Chlamydomonas reinhardtii: one gene and its partners. The protein of the gene in region 1 binds, or shares a complex with, the protein of each later gene. Links are inferred from orthologs where the notes say so. Each region holds a gene or a part of one and is shown in the gene's direction. Other genes may lie near its edges.

Region 1 (4,950 bases):
TTAACAGCAGCCGCACGTTGCGGGCCGCGTTCTCGTCACGGTCCTGCGGGTGCCAGCAGCAGCGGGGGCGGGGACCAAGTGTGTCGCGCGTCGCCCACCAAAAATCCTGCCCCCGCCCCAATTCCTGCCCCCGCCCACGTTCCAGCCGTCATCCCATGTCACTCCCACTCACCCACGTCGTGTGACAGTCATTGCAGACCCGGACATCGAAGCCCGCGCCGCCCTGCGGCAGCTCCTTGATTGCGGCGCAGGCTGCGGCGCCCGAACTTCGCACACATCTGGAAAGGGCAGGTCATGGGCGAGGTCAGGGACGGCGTGTACTGTGCCCTCACCATGCTCGTGCGGAACTCGTTGATCATGATGACGTGGCGCGCGAACCGCTCACGCAGCAGCCGCACGAACCCCCTGCGTGGCGGCTGATCCGCCCAGCTGACCGTGCCGTGGTAGCCCGCGCTGCCGCCACCCCAGTCCAGCACGCTTTTCTGCTGCGTCACCCCCGGCTCTCCGCCCATCAGGCGCACGGCCTCGCGGCACAACACCCGCTGCGTCCAGCAGTAGACCTGCAGGCGCTTCTGCCGCCAGGCGGGGGCGGCGTACAGCGCGCTAGCAGGTCCACAAAGCCGAGCTCGCGCACAGGTGGCTGCACTGCCGCCTCACCGCTGCACGTTTTCCTTGTGCTCTTTAACACAGGTGGCTGCACTGCCGCCTCACCCTGCCGCCTCACCCTGGACCCCGGCACCGCAGCTGTACTTGTATTCAAGGCGACCGAGGACGATCTGCCTATCCACCGCCCGGGCGGTTGGCAGGCTGGACTGCCAGGCGCACAGCGCAGGGTCCGCCTTCAAACGCAGCCTGCGTCTGCTGGTGTCGGGACTGTGCACCATAGCGGTCGCGTTGTCCCGCCCGCCCTCTGCCTGCCGCGTTCCGCCGCCCGCACCGCCACAGCGGCGGCGGCGGCTGCGGAGGCTGCGGCGGTGCGGGCGGCGGAACGCGGCAGGCAGAGGGCGGGCGGGACAACGCGACCGCTATGGTGCACAGTCCCGACAACAGCAGACGCGGGCTGCGGCCGCCAAGCAGCGCCACAAGCGCCGCGCGTTTACGCACTGCTCGGGGGCGGAGCACCGCACGAACTGCGGCTACAACTAACCAGCACAGCTGTGGCGTCTAAAGGCGGACACTGCGCTGTGCGCCTGGCAGTCCAGCCTGCCAACCGCCCGGACGGTGGATAGGCAGATCGTCCTCGGTCGCCTCGACTACAAGTACAGCTGCGGTGCTGGGGCCGGCGGGCAGGGCAAGGCGGCAGTGCAGCCAAGCGTCCGAGGATGGCTAACCTTAATGCACCTGCGACTGCGCGGCGCCTCTCCACCAGCCTCAGGCACATGATGGCTCGCGTGAACACTCCTTTTGCGCGCAAGGGGGACGCAACAAGTGACGGTGCTGACTCGTGCTCTGAAAATGGGAGCGGCCAAGCGAGGAACGGTTGGGCCATGGAATTGCAGTCGTCGAGCGGGAAACCCGGGGTCGCGTGTTTTAGCATGCTTTCGAGTGAACTGCTGCCACGCTAAGTGACGACGATGACGTCCTTTGGTTGCTCGTGCTCCGCGTCATCAATGACCATTCTTTCATTCTTTCCCACCAGGCTGCCAATTCCTAGCAGCGCCAATAAATAAAATGTCTGTCTCTTCACACGAAACATACAAACATTCCCTCGCCTGCCGCACGTTCACGACCTCGACCAGTCGACAGGCCCCCAACGCTTAACCTCGTGATCACACCCATTCCGTGCTCACAGCAACCTCTCAGTGATCTCTAGCTGTCCGAGTTGTGCAGCTGAGGCGAACGCTCATAGTTCCGCCCAAAGCCCTTGTCTGGCTGTGGCGCTCCGATGTGTAGCGTGGGCCCCGGCCGCAACGCTCATGTAGGGTTTGCAAGCACAGCAAAGATATGCCGTCGCGTTCGGGCCATGCCAGTGACAGCGGTTCGCAAGCCGGACACGGACAATTGCGGCCCCTCGACTTCGGGAAGTTCGAAGCGCGGCTTCATCAACGAGCTGCTTCGCGGGCCACAGCCAGACCTGTTCAAAGCACATCCTAAGGTCCGTCAGATCAACCATATCCTGCGTGGCCGCCACGACCGGCTTCGCGGACTGGAACGACCGCTCGGTGCTGTGGTGCTCCCCGCCTATCTGTGGGGCTCCATCGCCGCGGTCATTGGTGAGCGTCGCGCGTGCGCCGCTACGGCGAACTGAGTCCTGGGGCTCGCGGGGGATCGCAGCCGCTGCTGGGGAGGGCCGCCGCCCGCAGGGACCGCACAGGCGTTGCGCAAGCGGGAGTCGGGCACTGCGCTGCTGACACGTCATGACGTCACGACAGCCAGGACAAGGACCTCGCCTCCCGCGCCCCCTTGCGAGCTCTCAGCCCCTTCCAGAGCCCACACCAATCGCCGCCGCATCTTTCCATTCCCTCCTCCACTATCACTGCCGCCCGCAGGCCTGCAGTCCGCGCTGCCGGTCCTGTCCGGCGCCGCGGTGGGCGGTCTATTTGCCGTCATGCACCGCGTCTGCAACCGCAAGCTGTGGGCGGCGCCGCGCCAGCCCCTCACTGTGGTGGTCACGGGCGGCTCGCGCGGGCTGGGCAAGGCTCTGGCGCGGGAGTTCCTGGCGGCTGGGGACCGGGTGCTGCTGACCAGCCGCACGCAGGCGGCGGCGGACGCGGCAGTGCGGGAGCTGCGGGAGGAGGTGGCGGCGCTGAACGGCTGCTGCCCGCAGGTGCGCAAGGAATGGCTGGGCCGAAAGAGTGTAGGCGGCGTAGGTGTGCTTCTAAGACGGGGCAGTGCCGGATCGTGGGCTTGTTACGTTGTGGTCGGGGCGGGGCGGGGCGCAGCAGGCGAGGGGAGTGGCTGGTTGACCAGCACGGTGCACGTGTGCGAGTGCATTCAGCCATGTGCTGCTCCGGCGCCTATGCAGGTGGTGGGCGTGGCTGCGGACGTCAGCGATGCGGTGGGCGTGGCCGCTGTGGAGGCGGCGGCGCTGTCATCCTTCGGGCGAGTGGACGCCTGGGTGAACAACGCCGGGTACAGCGGCTCCTTCCAGCCGCTTGTGGAGCAGACCGACGCGCAGATCGAGCAGGTCAGTCCCCCTGCCCTGGCTGCCCCTGCCCCGCTTCTACCTCCTGACCTGCTCCGGTCACTATATGTGACGCCAGCCCACCCCCACCGTTACCATGCACGTGCCACTTAGCTAAGTCCTCGGCCCCATGTTCACAATTACCGTATCAGTTCCTGACCTCCATACCCTACGCCTTCGCTGCGCGCATGTTGTACTCAACGCTCCTTGCTTCAACTCCCTTGTGTCTTGCCCCACCGCCGCCCCCACCGCTGTCAGGTGGTCCGCACCAACCTGCTGGGCACGCTGCTGTGCACACGCCAGGCCGTGAGCCTGATGCAGCACCAGCCGGGTGGAGGACACATCTTCAACATGGACGGCGCCGGCGCAGACGGCTTCGCCACTCCCAACTACGCGGCATACGGTAAGCAGGGCAGGACGGAGGTGGCTTTTTCAGTGCAGGCATGGCCTTGGAAGGGGTTGCCTAGCTCCGCGCGAACGTCTCCGCCTTCTTGCTCCGCCCCTCCCCCCTTCTCCCATTCTCGCTTCTAGTTCATGACTCATGAGCAGTACTGTGCACATGCGACCCATCCGCAACTCCACGCCTGCATAACGTTTCCCTTCCACCCCGCCACAGGCGCCACCAAGGCCGGCATCACGCAGCTGACGGGCACGCTGCAACGCGAGCTGGCGGACACACCCATCAAGCTGCACACAGTCAGTCCGGGCATGATCCTGACCGACCTGCTGCTGGAGGGGGCCACCACCGCCAACAAGCAGGTGTGGGGGGATTACATGCATTAAGTTTACGAAGTGAAGTCGTAGGCAGGTACAAAGGTACACAGTAGTCGTCGTTACCGATGTCCGCGGAGTCCAGCGTCCGGCGCCCAGCTCCAGTACGTCCAGGCGCTCCGAGGCTGCTGCTCTCCCAATTTGCTGCCTATCCTAAGTTGAGATGGGTTGCCCGAGAGGTCTGGTAGTAGTGTAAAGCTATGTTATGCTATATAGTCGCGTAAAGCTCAGTAGTGCTCAGATGCGAATGCAGATGCGCGTGCAACGGTCGCGGTCGCGCGCGCTGGACTTTCCTAGACCCGTCTTGCTTTGTACTCACCTGCGCGCCGCGAGCACAGGCGCCGCACCAGGGACCGCGCGACGCATGCACGCAAGTGGGGCAGAGGCAGGGGGCGGTCATGGGGAGGGGCGAGTGGGTGTGTTTTGGATGCGTGGGGAACCCCCCGTGTGTGTTGTGGGAATGGCGAAGATGGCAGTGGTAATTGGGGAGGGGTCCGCGCTTGACTATTTTGCGCTCTTGCTGTCGCTCGGTTTCGGGCAACGTGCGCTTGTGCTTCTAGCCTCCTCTTGAACCCTCGCCACACACAACACATTCATACACACACCATCCGGACCATCATCCATGCCGCCTGTCACTCCGCCCGCTCAGGCCTTCAACATCCTGTGTGAGCACCCCGAGACCGTGGCCGCCTTCCTGGTGCCCCGCATTAAGAGCGCCGTGGCCCGCGACGTGAGCGGCACCTACACGCGCTTCCTGACACCGGGCTCAGCGCTGTACCGCCTGGCCACCGCCCCCGCCCGCCTGGGTCGCTTCTTCGACAAGGAGGGCCGCGCTGTGTACCCGCCCGAGCGCGAGCGCCTCATGGGCAGACACGCCAAGTCCACCGCCCGCGCCCAGGTGCGTGTGTCTTCAGCAGTGTGTGTAAGCGCGTGTGCTACGCGAATAGGTAGTTGATTTGCACAGCGGGAGGACCGGCCGTATGTATAGGGGCGACAACGCTGGCTTTACACATGGCTGGCCTTATGTGCCGCGGCCTTGCTCCAGCCCACACCCT
Region 2 (5,152 bases), on another chromosome or scaffold:
AGCGGGCGGCAGCAGTGGATGTGAGCGGGAGGCAGCAGTGGATGTGAGAGGGTGGGAGGGCGGGCGGAGTGACAGGGTGGTAGGTACACAGGGTGACGATGGAGCGAGCGGAGTGGAACAAGGCCGGGGTGCGGGGATGTGTGTGTGCAGGGAGGGGCTGCCGGGCTGGGCGGTACCCTGCACACTGCGCATGCCCCCAGTGCCACCTCTGTCACGCTCACGTCGCCGTGACCCGACGCGCCCTCACGCGTACACACCGTGCAATGGCTGTGCTCCTGTTCCGTCCTCGCTTCACCGTGCCCCCGAGCCAGCCCAACCCTGTGCCGTTACCCGCGCCTCCCAGGTTTCCTAACGTTGTCGCTCATGAAGGCGGCCTCCCCTCATAGCGCCCATTAATCAGCTCCACCCAATTACAATATGGCTCGCCCCCGCCTCTTTTACTCTTCAACTCTTGAATCTTTCAACTCTTCCATGGCTGGCACCAGGCTGGAAATATCGGCCCAGGGCCCCGCTCACACCCCGACCTCGACACGCGTGTCATACACACACGTTCCCCCTTCCCTCCAAACCCGACATCGTCGCCACCCACCGCCTCCACCAGCTCGCCCATGGCCTTCTCCTGGCTGGCCGGGCCCTTCTTGCCGCGGCCATCCTCGGGGTTGTAGGTCCTGCGGGTGGGGAAGGGGGGCGCCAGTGCGTGTGCGTCAGGTCAAGTTGCCGTACTGTCCTGTGGAGGCGCAGGCGAGAGCTTGGTACGACAGGGTGTACCGGTAGTGCTGTGAGCCGTGCAGAGCCTTCAGCCCCCGCCGTTCCCGCTGCTCTGCCACAGTGCCTGCCAGCCTGCCGCTCTCTCTGGCCGTGCTCCAGTCCTCCCAAAATCCCCTGCCCCTATAGCAATGCCCCCCGGCCCTTGAAATGGCGTGTGTTAGAACACTCACAGGGGAGGGGCATAGTGGGTGCGGTCGTTGCCCTCCTCGGAGGTGGCAATGCAGTTGGGCGAGGGAGGGCACAGGTTCAGGGTCTGCACGCCTGCGCCGTAGTCGATGATGCCCAGGTTGCCCGGGCGAGGGGCCGCGCCGATGGACAGCAGCGCGCCCAGAACCATAACGTTCACGGAGCGGAGCACAATCTCCCTGTCGAGGCGGAGAGGGGGAGTCATTTGTTTGCCGGGGCATGCGCGATCGGCCAGCGAAATGTCGCGAGGCACGGTTGGCCTCGCGCACCGGCGTCGCGCACACACCGAGCCTACACGCCCATAATGCATTTGTGAAAGCAAGACGCTGGTGCATTGCCTCGCTAGTCGCGCAGATCGTGGTGCAAGCAAACTTGTGCTCGGGAGGGGCTGCAACGCAGCACCGAGCTCGACAACAGCATTTCGCCCCCGGCCGTCCACCCCTTAAATATAATTCATCCACTTGAGCATTTTTTGAGGCTCAAAGCAGCCATTACAGAAAGAAACGCGAGGTTGCCCCGAAACTCACTTGGGCTGGAGCTTCTCCTCGCTGTCGCCCTTCCAGTTGGCCGCCTGGCAGACCATGCGGCGAGCCACAGGGGCAGTGCGAACAACGGCAACAGCGCTGCGGCGCTGGGCCTGGCCAAACACAACACGCTTCTGGGCCTGCAGCATTTTAAGGGTTTGTTCTGTATAAGGGCAGCTAAAAGCGAGAGGAAATCGTTTCTTACGCAAATTGAGGCAGCTTAAGCGAGCCAGAGCCCACGGTCGCGCCAGCTCATTCCAAGGGACCCACGGGCCTTGCGAGCAAACTGCGCAACTGGAAGGCTGCTAATGCCCGTAATTCGCTACCTTAGTCACTGCATAAACATACATTGCTAAGCACAGGCTGTGCTGGACTCACAAGTTGGCTTGCTGGACCAGTTCACTCGTCGTCTTTGAGCCTCGCGGACCAGAGCACACGCACTGAAGCCAGCACAAATGCTCGGTGCTCACAGCAGCTCGGCGAAGGGTGTCGCTGGGTGCTCGAGGCGCAGGTGAAAGCCTCGTGCATGGAGCAATGCGTGAGGCTCCCGACGTTCATGTCGCATTCTAGAAGGAGGCTTTGACCAAATATACTCAATGCTGCAGAGCGGTGCTCCAGCGATGCCCCACCTCTGACATCACGACACACACTGCTTGCACTTGCAGGGCGAGCCTCGCCGCTGCTCCCGGCGGTGCCCCTGTGCTGCGCGCGCCGCTCCTGCGCCCGCTCTCGGCCACACCTGCCAACTCCTCCTCCTCCTCCGGCGCTTCCTCATCCGCATCCTCTTCCACGCTAGCACCCGACTGGCGCGAGCGCGCCAAGCCAATCCAGCCGGGCAGCAGCTACCCCGCGAAGGAGCACTGCTCCAACTGTGGGCTGTGCGACACGTACTATGTGGCGCACGTGAAAGACGCGTGTGCCTTCCTGGGGCCGGGTAGGGAGCTGAGGGGAGGGGTTCTGAGGAGGGGGGAGCAGGTAATGGGCAGGGGATGGCACCCGGGCAGGGTTGGGGGGAAGGGGGCGCGGAGAGATGGTGGTGTCGACAATTGGGGTACTGCGTTTTCTCAGACTCTGTCACCTGCCCCGACTCTTGACACAAGGTCATCCCTCCATGCAGGCATGTCGCGCATTGATGAGCTGGAGGAGCGCGTGCACGGCCGCCGCCGCGACGTCAACAGGTGGGGCTGTAGATGGGGTGGGGTGGGGTGGAGGGGGGGTTGTAAACACCAGCCCAAACCCAATGCAAACGAGCGAGGAGGAGAGCGTGGGGGAGCCGGGGTAGTCGCAAGCATTCCCACACACGGAGGAGTACTACATGTGCACTAGCGCGTGGCCGTGTGGTGTTGCGGTGTCGCGGCAACGCTCTAGCCGTGAAGCAATGCCTGCGCCATCGCCCGGTGGCGCTGCTCCTATGCTGGCTTGGACTCGTTGCCACGCCAAGCAAATGTCAACGTTTCACATTCCTCACATCACCCCAGGCTCCCAACACAAGTTCCATCGCACACACACACACACACACGCAACATTCGTAAACCGTCGCTTTGCTGCATCGCATACACTGACTTTGTGCAATGTTTTCCTTGTGCTTTTCAACACGCTCAACGCCGCCACTCAACACATACTCCCGCACCCCCCCCCCCCGCAGTGACGACGAGCTCCACTTTGGCGTCACGGCCCCGGGCGGCATGGCCTACGCTGCCAACGTGCCGGGCGTGCCGGGAGCGCAGTGGACCGGCATTGTGACTCAAGTGGGGGTTGGCTGGTGTAGATGGTGGGGTTGGTTGGATGGGTGGATAAGTGGGTGCCTGGGTTGGGATGGGGGTGGTGTTAAGGGAACAACGTCCGCGCCGTGGTCTTGGTATTGCATGGGGTCATGCGTGGGCAATGTCGTACTGATATGCCTCGGCGGGCCGCGCTCCCAACTACCTGTACCAACCGCCCCCACCGCCTCTGCTACTGCGATGCTGCTGCCGTACTGCCAACCGCTTGTCAACCCCTCGCTCCCGTACCCGCCGTACATACTTGCTGCCGCTGCCGTACCGTTACCCATGCAGATCGCCATCGAGATGCTCCAGAGCGGCAAGGTGGACGCGGTGGTGTGCGTGCAGAGCGACGAGAACGACAGGTGGGTGCGCAGGCGGTGGTGGGCGTGTGGGCGTGCCGAAGTGGGCAATGGATCGAATGAGTGACGATCCGAGCCATTCGGCTGTTCGATGGTTGACTTCGTGGCGCCTCGTGGAGCTTCAGAGAGATCAAGGACGCCTGGCCAATCTTGAGGGGCCCCACCGCTCATCCGGCTAAGTCGTCGGCTAACCCGGGGGGTGCGGGCCGCTCGTCCGGCTGGGCGAGCGACTCAGCGCGCTGAGCCCGCAGCCCCCTTCACTGGGCTGAAGCTCTCAGCAGCTGAGCCTTCCGCTCAGCGACCGGAGCTCGCTGAGAGCAGCCGAAACAGCCCGTGTGATCCCTCTACACGTTTGGTCCTGGCAGCGCCTCGACTCCTACTCCTACTCATACTCCTACTGCTCTTAACCTTCTTCTTCAGCCTCTCCGTTGTCAAAGCATAGGCCACGCTGTCCTCGTCGCCCGTTTGCATTGGGATTGCTGTAGGTTGGGACGGCATCTACAGCAGTACAGCCCCACTCCCAGCCCAACCGGCGCCATTCTCCCCCTGCTTGTCCTCCACTCCCGCAGGTTCACGCCAAAGCCCGTGGTGGCTCGCACCGTGGAAGACATCATCAAGGTGTGTGCCGTACATGTTTGTGCGTGGTGTACGTGTTTTTGAGCAAGCATAAAGTAAAGTGTGTGACACGTTTAGCAGGATGCACGAAGAGGAGTGTACGGCATGCCGTGCGTGTATGTGTGCGTGGGGGCCCACGTGGACGCATGCCACCCGTCAGGCCCCGCCAGGCCCCGTCTGCTGCTGACCCGCCCAACCCCACCCTAACCACATTCCAGCCGCCCCAACCATCCGACCAACCGCCCAACCGCCCCAACTGCCCAACCACCCCACACAGGCCCGCGGTGTGAAGCCCACCCTGTCGCCCAACCTAAACGTGCTGGCCACCGTGGAGGCGCTGCAGGTGGGGGTGTGAGGATGACAGGATGTGGTGGTGTGGGGGGGAGGCGCTGCAGGTGGGGGGAGGCGGCGGTGTGTGTGTGAGGAGGAGCTGCAGGTGGGGGAGGCGGTGTGAGGAGGTGGCGGCGTGTATTGGCGGTGTGTGTTCGCGCGAATGAGGCGGCCGAGCTGTGTGCTGCTGCACGCACGTGCGCGGGTTACTCGATCAAACTTGAGTAATGGCCTGAGCATTGGCAAGCTGACCTACGCCGCTGCCGTGCTCCGCTGCCGCCCTCCCCACCACTCGCGTTCCAACGCCTGATGTTTTTTCTTGCTGTCCCCTGATTCCCTGCTTGTATCCTGTTCCCAATGTTTTGTTTAACCTTGAACTCCCCACCCCGCAGGTCAAGAAGCTGCTCTTTATTGGCGTGGGGTGCCAGGTGTGTGTGTGGGGGGGGGGGCCCAGGGGCGCGCAGCACGATCCAACAATGCCACACGTCCCCTGTCACCCCATCCCTCCACCGCCCCTCCACCCCATCCCTCCACCGCCCCTCCACCCCACCCGAACCCCACCCCACCCCACCTGACCCCATCCTCCTCCCCTCCACCGCCCAGGTCC
Region 3 (5,068 bases), about 360 kb from region 1:
GTCGCCAGCAGGCGCCCACTCGAAGATGATGATGAGCATGTTCTCATCGATGAAGGCGTCCAGCATCTGGATGATATTGGGGTGGTCCAGCTGCTGCAACAGCGTCACCTCCTGCAGGCACCGATCGCGCTTCTTGGCGCTCATCTCAAAGATCTGTGTGCAGTTGAAGAAAGAGAGAGGGGTGCAGGCATGGGATGGGGCTTGATGGGCGCATGGGAAGGTGGACAGGTTATGGCACATGACCAGGGAATCGGAAGGGAGTGGGCGGCGGGGTGTCATACACACGCGCCCAACTGCTTTCCATGAGCTGCCAAGGCCATCTCTCCCAGGTCGATGAGGCTGTGAGGCTGCTGGCAGCTTTGCAAGCAGCTACGGCCCAGTGGGTAAATGGGCACAGAAGGACGTCGCCGACGCCGCGGACATTTGTTCTGCAGCCCTTGCCCTGGATGACTTCAACCCAAAACAACGCGTGGAAGCTTGCGCTGCCAGCGGCTAGGCGGGGTTTACAGGCCCGGCCCACGACCACTGCGTCCCATCCTGCCATCCATCAGCACAGTACCCCAGCCGGACTGTGTGGCCCGCGGTGTACAGACCCGTCGGCTGGAGCCCTCAGTGGCTGCGCGGCCAGCTGCTGCCGACTCGCCGACTGGCTTGTGGCCCGCTGCGCCTGCAACCCGCGCATCCCCAGATCCACCGCAGCTGCGTCTGTGCGGCTGCGCCTGGGGCCACCAGCTGCGGCGGCGGGCTTCCCCAGGCAAGCCCACGGCCAGCAGCCGCCACCGTACTGCGCCTTGCCCGCGTCCCGCCGCAGCTCAGCGGTGCGGGTGGCCGTGCAGCTGCTGCACGTGGATTGTCACTGCTGAGCGGCTGTCGGCTATGTCCGTGGCACGCTTGCACGAGCGGCCATCATATTGACCGCCTGTTGGGGCCCACGCCTGCCGTTCCGTAACCGTAACCCGGCCTGGCCCCAGCGGCACACCAGCGCCCAACCAGCGCCTGTGAAGCTGCGCACTATGCCTGGAACACTGCCCCCTGGTCCGCTCTCCTCCCGTCGGAGGTCTTCCATGGAAAACACGCCCAGGCCGCCCAGCGAGTAGCTCACCTCGACCTTCTTCACGGCCACCACGCGACCGTCGTCCCGGCGGATGCCCTTGTAGACCACCGCATAGCCGCCTTTCCCCACGGGTTTCTGGACGTCGTAAGCATCCGTTAGCCTCCCAGGGCATGAAGGTACGACGCCCAGGGTCTCCCCGTCCCCCCTGGCGGTGTTTGGAGCCTCGCGCGTTGCTGGGCGACTGCCATTTTTCGATGCCTGCCGCGCTGGTGACGGGACCGTCTGCAAAGACCCCGCACCAGGCTGGGCCTCAACCGTCTGGGGCCGGCTTTCTGACTGCCTGCTCGTTGGCCGGCTCATTTGCTCACTTTGCTAGACATGCGCGACCGCGGGGCTGACCGGATATCGCCCCGCGAAGAGCTGTATTTAACACATCTTGTTTTGATAAGTTGGCAACATGAACTAACGAGTGGAAAGCTTATTAGAAAGCGGCACAACACCAGGTCGTTTGAACGCGTCGTCAAAGGTAAGAAGTAAAGCTTGTTTTCACCTTATAAGGCTGGGCATTGAGCTACTCGCGCAGCGGGCGATGGTAAAGAAAACCAATGGGCATGGAACATTTGGGACTCACGAAAATCTCTGTCGCTGCTCAGGTATTTAGTATTTTCATTCAATGCCATATTAATGCAACCATGAGGCAAGCGCTATCAGCTAGGGGCTGTGACCAGCGACTGGCGCAACACGGCTCCAGCTCAGTTCTTCGTCCACTGCAAGCACGATCTCTCCTAAAACGCTTGCAAATAGCTAGCTCCAACCAGACACAGGCGCATACAGATGTTGCAGGAACGAGCACGAGCGGGAGGGAGGAGGTGAGTCTCTGCCGAGTGCTGCGTTGAAACAGCGCTTGCCTGGGACATAAGCAGTTGCGTGGTCGCTTTAACAATTCCTGGGTGTCGTCAGCGGAGCAGATGCAGCTAGTCACGGCTTGGACCAATATCTGGGGACGGTTGACAGCTCAAGGGGAAAGCGGAATACTGCTCCACAGTCCTGGCGCAGAGGACCTGAGCCCCCCGTGCGTTGTGACGTGCACGTGCAGCGGCCCATCACCATGTCCACTGGGGAGTGGGGCGAGGAGCTGTACTTCGACTGGTAAGCGGATGAGCGCCCACCGCGCAACTCCCCTTTCGGGGTCGGCTGACTGCGTGGAGCCGGATGCCCCTGGGGGCAGTGCATCGCAAACGCCAGCAGCCTTCTGCAGCGCGGGCACAATCTTCGTGTCAGGGTTTAGGTCCTTGCCTTCGCGGCCTTCACGCTCTGACGCCTGGGCAACCGCCGCGTCGCGCCTGCTGCAGGGAGTACAACTCTCAAATATGCTACCGCCAGAAGGGAGAGGTGCGCGGTTGCGTGGGAACTCCACTCACGAACTCACCATACTGAGTCGCATAAGTCATGAGGCACTACCATCCCTGCAGCCTTCCCGTCATCTTTCACGGACGGCCCCGCCCCTTCGTCCTCCCAATCCTGATTGCAATGGTGAACGCACTCTACCCACACCCTGCGATTTACCACTTGCCGCCCCCCCCCCCCCCGCGCACAGTCCGGCCCGCCCATTCTGATGCTCCACGGCTTTGGAGTGGGCAGCTGGCATTTCCACCGCAACTGGGAGGACCTGCAGCACGACCACCGCGTGTGGGCGGTGGACCTATTGGGGCAGGGTGAGTGCGCACAGGGGTGCTTTATATGGTGCTGGACAATCGCTTGCACTTGTGTCCGGCCCTGCTCTGTCCGCCCCGTGGGTGTCGGCATAATTTGAACTCGAACAATCACCAAGTCCTGTGCTAACCATTGGTCAACGTACTGCTGACTCCACACACACACACGCGTATGCACACACGCCACAGGCCGTAGCTGGCCGGCCCAGCCTGTGTCGACCTCGGACGCCGCGGGCAAGCTGTTCTTCAGCGTGGACACCTGGACGCGGCAGCTGGAGGCGTTCCTGGAGCAGGTGGTGCGAGAGCCCGCGTACGTGGCCGGCAACTCCCTCGGAGGGTGAGTACGCGCTGCGAGGGGGCGGGATTACTTACCGTAAAGCCAAACTAACCCAAGAGGGTTACAGGCAACGGAGGGCGGTGAAGGTTGTATAGGAATGCTTGTGAGCGGCAGGGGCACAGTGCCCAGCTCTTGCTGGCCCGCGTGCACGCTCACACACAGCGTGCTCGCAGTCTCGCCAAGGGGTCCTTCTGGTCGCGGTTGCTGTAGCTTGGGATGACAGGCCGCGGCCCCGTTCCGTCGCTGCCATGGCCTAACCCTAGAGGCATGCCTGAACCTGCCTTCTCCCTGCCCCGCCTGCAGCTACCTGGCCGTAATGCTGGCCGCTCGGCGGCCCGACCTGGTCAAGGGGCTGACGCTGCTAAACGCAACGCCCTTCTGGTGAGCAGCGGGGGCACATGGCGGCGCGGGCTGGTGCGGTGAGAACAGAATCCACACCTGGCACTTCCTTGAAGCCATTGGGCCATGCAATCGGTGCTGGCGCCACACGCACTCGCGGCGTCGACCCCCCTTCTGCGTTGTGCTGTTCCTGATACACACACACGCGGTGTCTGGCTGTGGTGCGGTGCGGTGGAAACGATGGTCTCTCATCTGCTAGCTAGTCCTTTTACTGTCAGGATATCGCAGCACAACATCTGGCGATGCGACTGCGCAGGGCCTTCCGGCCGCCCCGCGCGTCGGCCCAGGCGCGCAGCTGGCTGTGGCGGGCACTGGACCGCGCGGTGGACGGCTCCGTGCCCGTGCCCCACGTGAGTGCTGCCATGCCGCGATGATGCTGTGCAGTACGGTAGAGAGAGGCAGGCTCCAGCGGGCGAGTTGCATGGGCGACGTGTGGTGTGGAGTGACGTGCAGCAGCCTCGTGTGCTGACAGGGATACGCTGTGCTGCTGCCCCTTTGCCCCGCAGTCCCTCAAGAGCGTCATTGAGCGCTACTGGTGAGCACGAGACGTTCAGCCGCTGAGCACACCGCATGGATCTACACAGCGCTGTTTGCGCTGCGCTTCAGCTGTCCTACCTGACACCTCCACGCAAACACACCTGCCGCATGCATCTCAACCGCCGCCGCCTCCATCACCTCCCTGTGCTTGCAGGTGGGACACGCTGCGCTCGCCCGCCACCATCAGCGCCATGCTGCAGCTGGTGTACGCCGACAAGAGCCCGCCCGACCCGCCGCTCATCAGCCGCATCGTGGAGGCCACACAGCACCCGGGCGCACTGGACGCATTCACAAGCATCGTGCTCAGCCCCAAGGTGAGAGCCCCGCATGCTACCTCCTCTTTTGCTTTTTCTGTGAATGATGTGGGGACGTTCTGCCATCTGCCCCAGCATCGATTGAGAAGAACCGATTAAGACTGACCAAGACCGACTGAGACCGACTTCCCTCCCGCCCGCCACTACTCTCCTGCCTGCCTGCCTCTCCCCAGGGTGAGCTGTCGTTCGACGAGCTGCTGGACCGATTGGCCTGCCCCGTGCTGCTGCTGTACGGTAAGGAGGACCCCTGGGTGCGGCCGCTGTGGGGGCAGCGCCTCAAGCGGCGGCTGCCCGAGGCCATGTACCTGGAGCTCAGCCCCGCAGGGTACGTGGCCGTGTGGGTGAATGTGCGGGGCGGGTGCGGGGCTGCAAGCTAGAACGTGTCACGTGTGTGCATCCGCGGTGTGCGCTACCGGCTGGGACGCAGACGGCTGGGTGGGAGCGCCGGTGACACTGCGCGTGGGGGCGTACATGGATAATCAGGGCCCTGGTCGTCGTGTTATGCTGGTGCACCCTACCAAACTTCCTGTGCATCTGCTGCCAACTCAGGCACTGCCCGCACCACGAGACACCGGCGGCGGTGAACCGCGCGCTGCGGGCGTGGGTGGCGGCGCAGGAGGCCCGGCCACAGCCGCAGCTCGCCCTGGCTGCGCCCTCGTTATCCACAACAGCTGGCGCCGGCGCCTCAGCGACAGCAGCCGGGGCCTCAGCCGCC

Evidence for each region. The genes of interacting proteins can lie anywhere in the genome.
Region 2: CHLRE_12g517700v5 (region 1) and CHLRE_11g468700v5 share a complex: the UniProt entries of both Arabidopsis thaliana proteins name them as parts of the SGR1-CCE-LHCII complex. The link is inferred for Chlamydomonas reinhardtii from reciprocal best matches to the Arabidopsis thaliana genes NYC1 and HCAR.
Region 3: CHLRE_12g517700v5 (region 1) and CHLRE_12g514700v5 share a complex: the UniProt entries of both Arabidopsis thaliana proteins name them as parts of the SGR1-CCE-LHCII complex. The link is inferred for Chlamydomonas reinhardtii from reciprocal best matches to the Arabidopsis thaliana genes NYC1 and PPH.

The regions. Positions count from the first base shown.
Region 1 is NC_057015.1:4,071,073-4,076,022, forward strand, and holds the start of CHLRE_12g517700v5 (uncharacterized protein), read left to right. Parts: upstream 1-1,733; 5' UTR 1,734-1,963; coding exon 1,964-2,213; intron 2,214-2,489; coding exon 2,490-2,767; intron 2,768-2,965; coding exon 2,966-3,127; intron 3,128-3,382; coding exon 3,383-3,527; intron 3,528-3,740; coding exon 3,741-3,883; intron 3,884-4,544; coding exon 4,545-4,793; intron 4,794-4,950. Other genes in the region: CHLRE_12g517681v5 (uncharacterized protein), read right to left, coding at 1-43, 173-278, 1,332-1,381. UniProt on the Arabidopsis thaliana protein: Involved in chlorophyll b degradation. Belongs to the chlorophyll catabolic enzymes (CCEs).
Region 2 is NC_057014.1:2,061,115-2,066,266, reverse strand, and holds the start of CHLRE_11g468700v5 (uncharacterized protein), read left to right. Parts: upstream 1-1,841; 5' UTR 1,842-1,933; coding exon 1,934-1,989; intron 1,990-2,143; coding exon 2,144-2,412; intron 2,413-2,595; coding exon 2,596-2,656; intron 2,657-3,123; coding exon 3,124-3,226; intron 3,227-3,532; coding exon 3,533-3,603; intron 3,604-4,169; coding exon 4,170-4,218; intron 4,219-4,492; coding exon 4,493-4,558; intron 4,559-4,937; coding exon 4,938-4,973; intron 4,974-5,148; coding exon 5,149-5,152. Other genes in the region: CHLRE_11g468750v5 (uncharacterized protein), read right to left, coding at 590-668, 939-1,133, 1,482-1,627. UniProt on the Arabidopsis thaliana protein: Probable iron-sulfur flavoprotein that converts 7-hydroxymethyl chlorophyll a to chlorophyll a using ferredoxin as a reducing equivalent. Catalyzes the reduction of a hydroxymethyl group to a methyl group. Belongs to the chlorophyll catabolic enzymes (CCEs).
Region 3 is NC_057015.1:3,711,295-3,716,362, forward strand, and holds the start of CHLRE_12g514700v5 (uncharacterized protein), read left to right. Parts: upstream 1-1,757; 5' UTR 1,758-1,923; intron 1,924-2,150; 5' UTR 2,151-2,162; coding exon 2,163-2,203; intron 2,204-2,406; coding exon 2,407-2,446; intron 2,447-2,651; coding exon 2,652-2,769; intron 2,770-2,955; coding exon 2,956-3,103; intron 3,104-3,406; coding exon 3,407-3,484; intron 3,485-3,758; coding exon 3,759-3,852; intron 3,853-4,008; coding exon 4,009-4,037; intron 4,038-4,193; coding exon 4,194-4,353; intron 4,354-4,526; coding exon 4,527-4,678; intron 4,679-4,902; coding exon 4,903-5,068. Other genes in the region: CHLRE_12g514650v5 (uncharacterized protein), read right to left, coding at 1-153, 1,103-1,414. UniProt on the Arabidopsis thaliana protein: Alpha/beta hydrolase dephytylating specifically the Mg-free chlorophyll pigment (pheophytin), yielding pheophorbide. No activity on chlorophyll. Belongs to the chlorophyll catabolic enzymes (CCEs).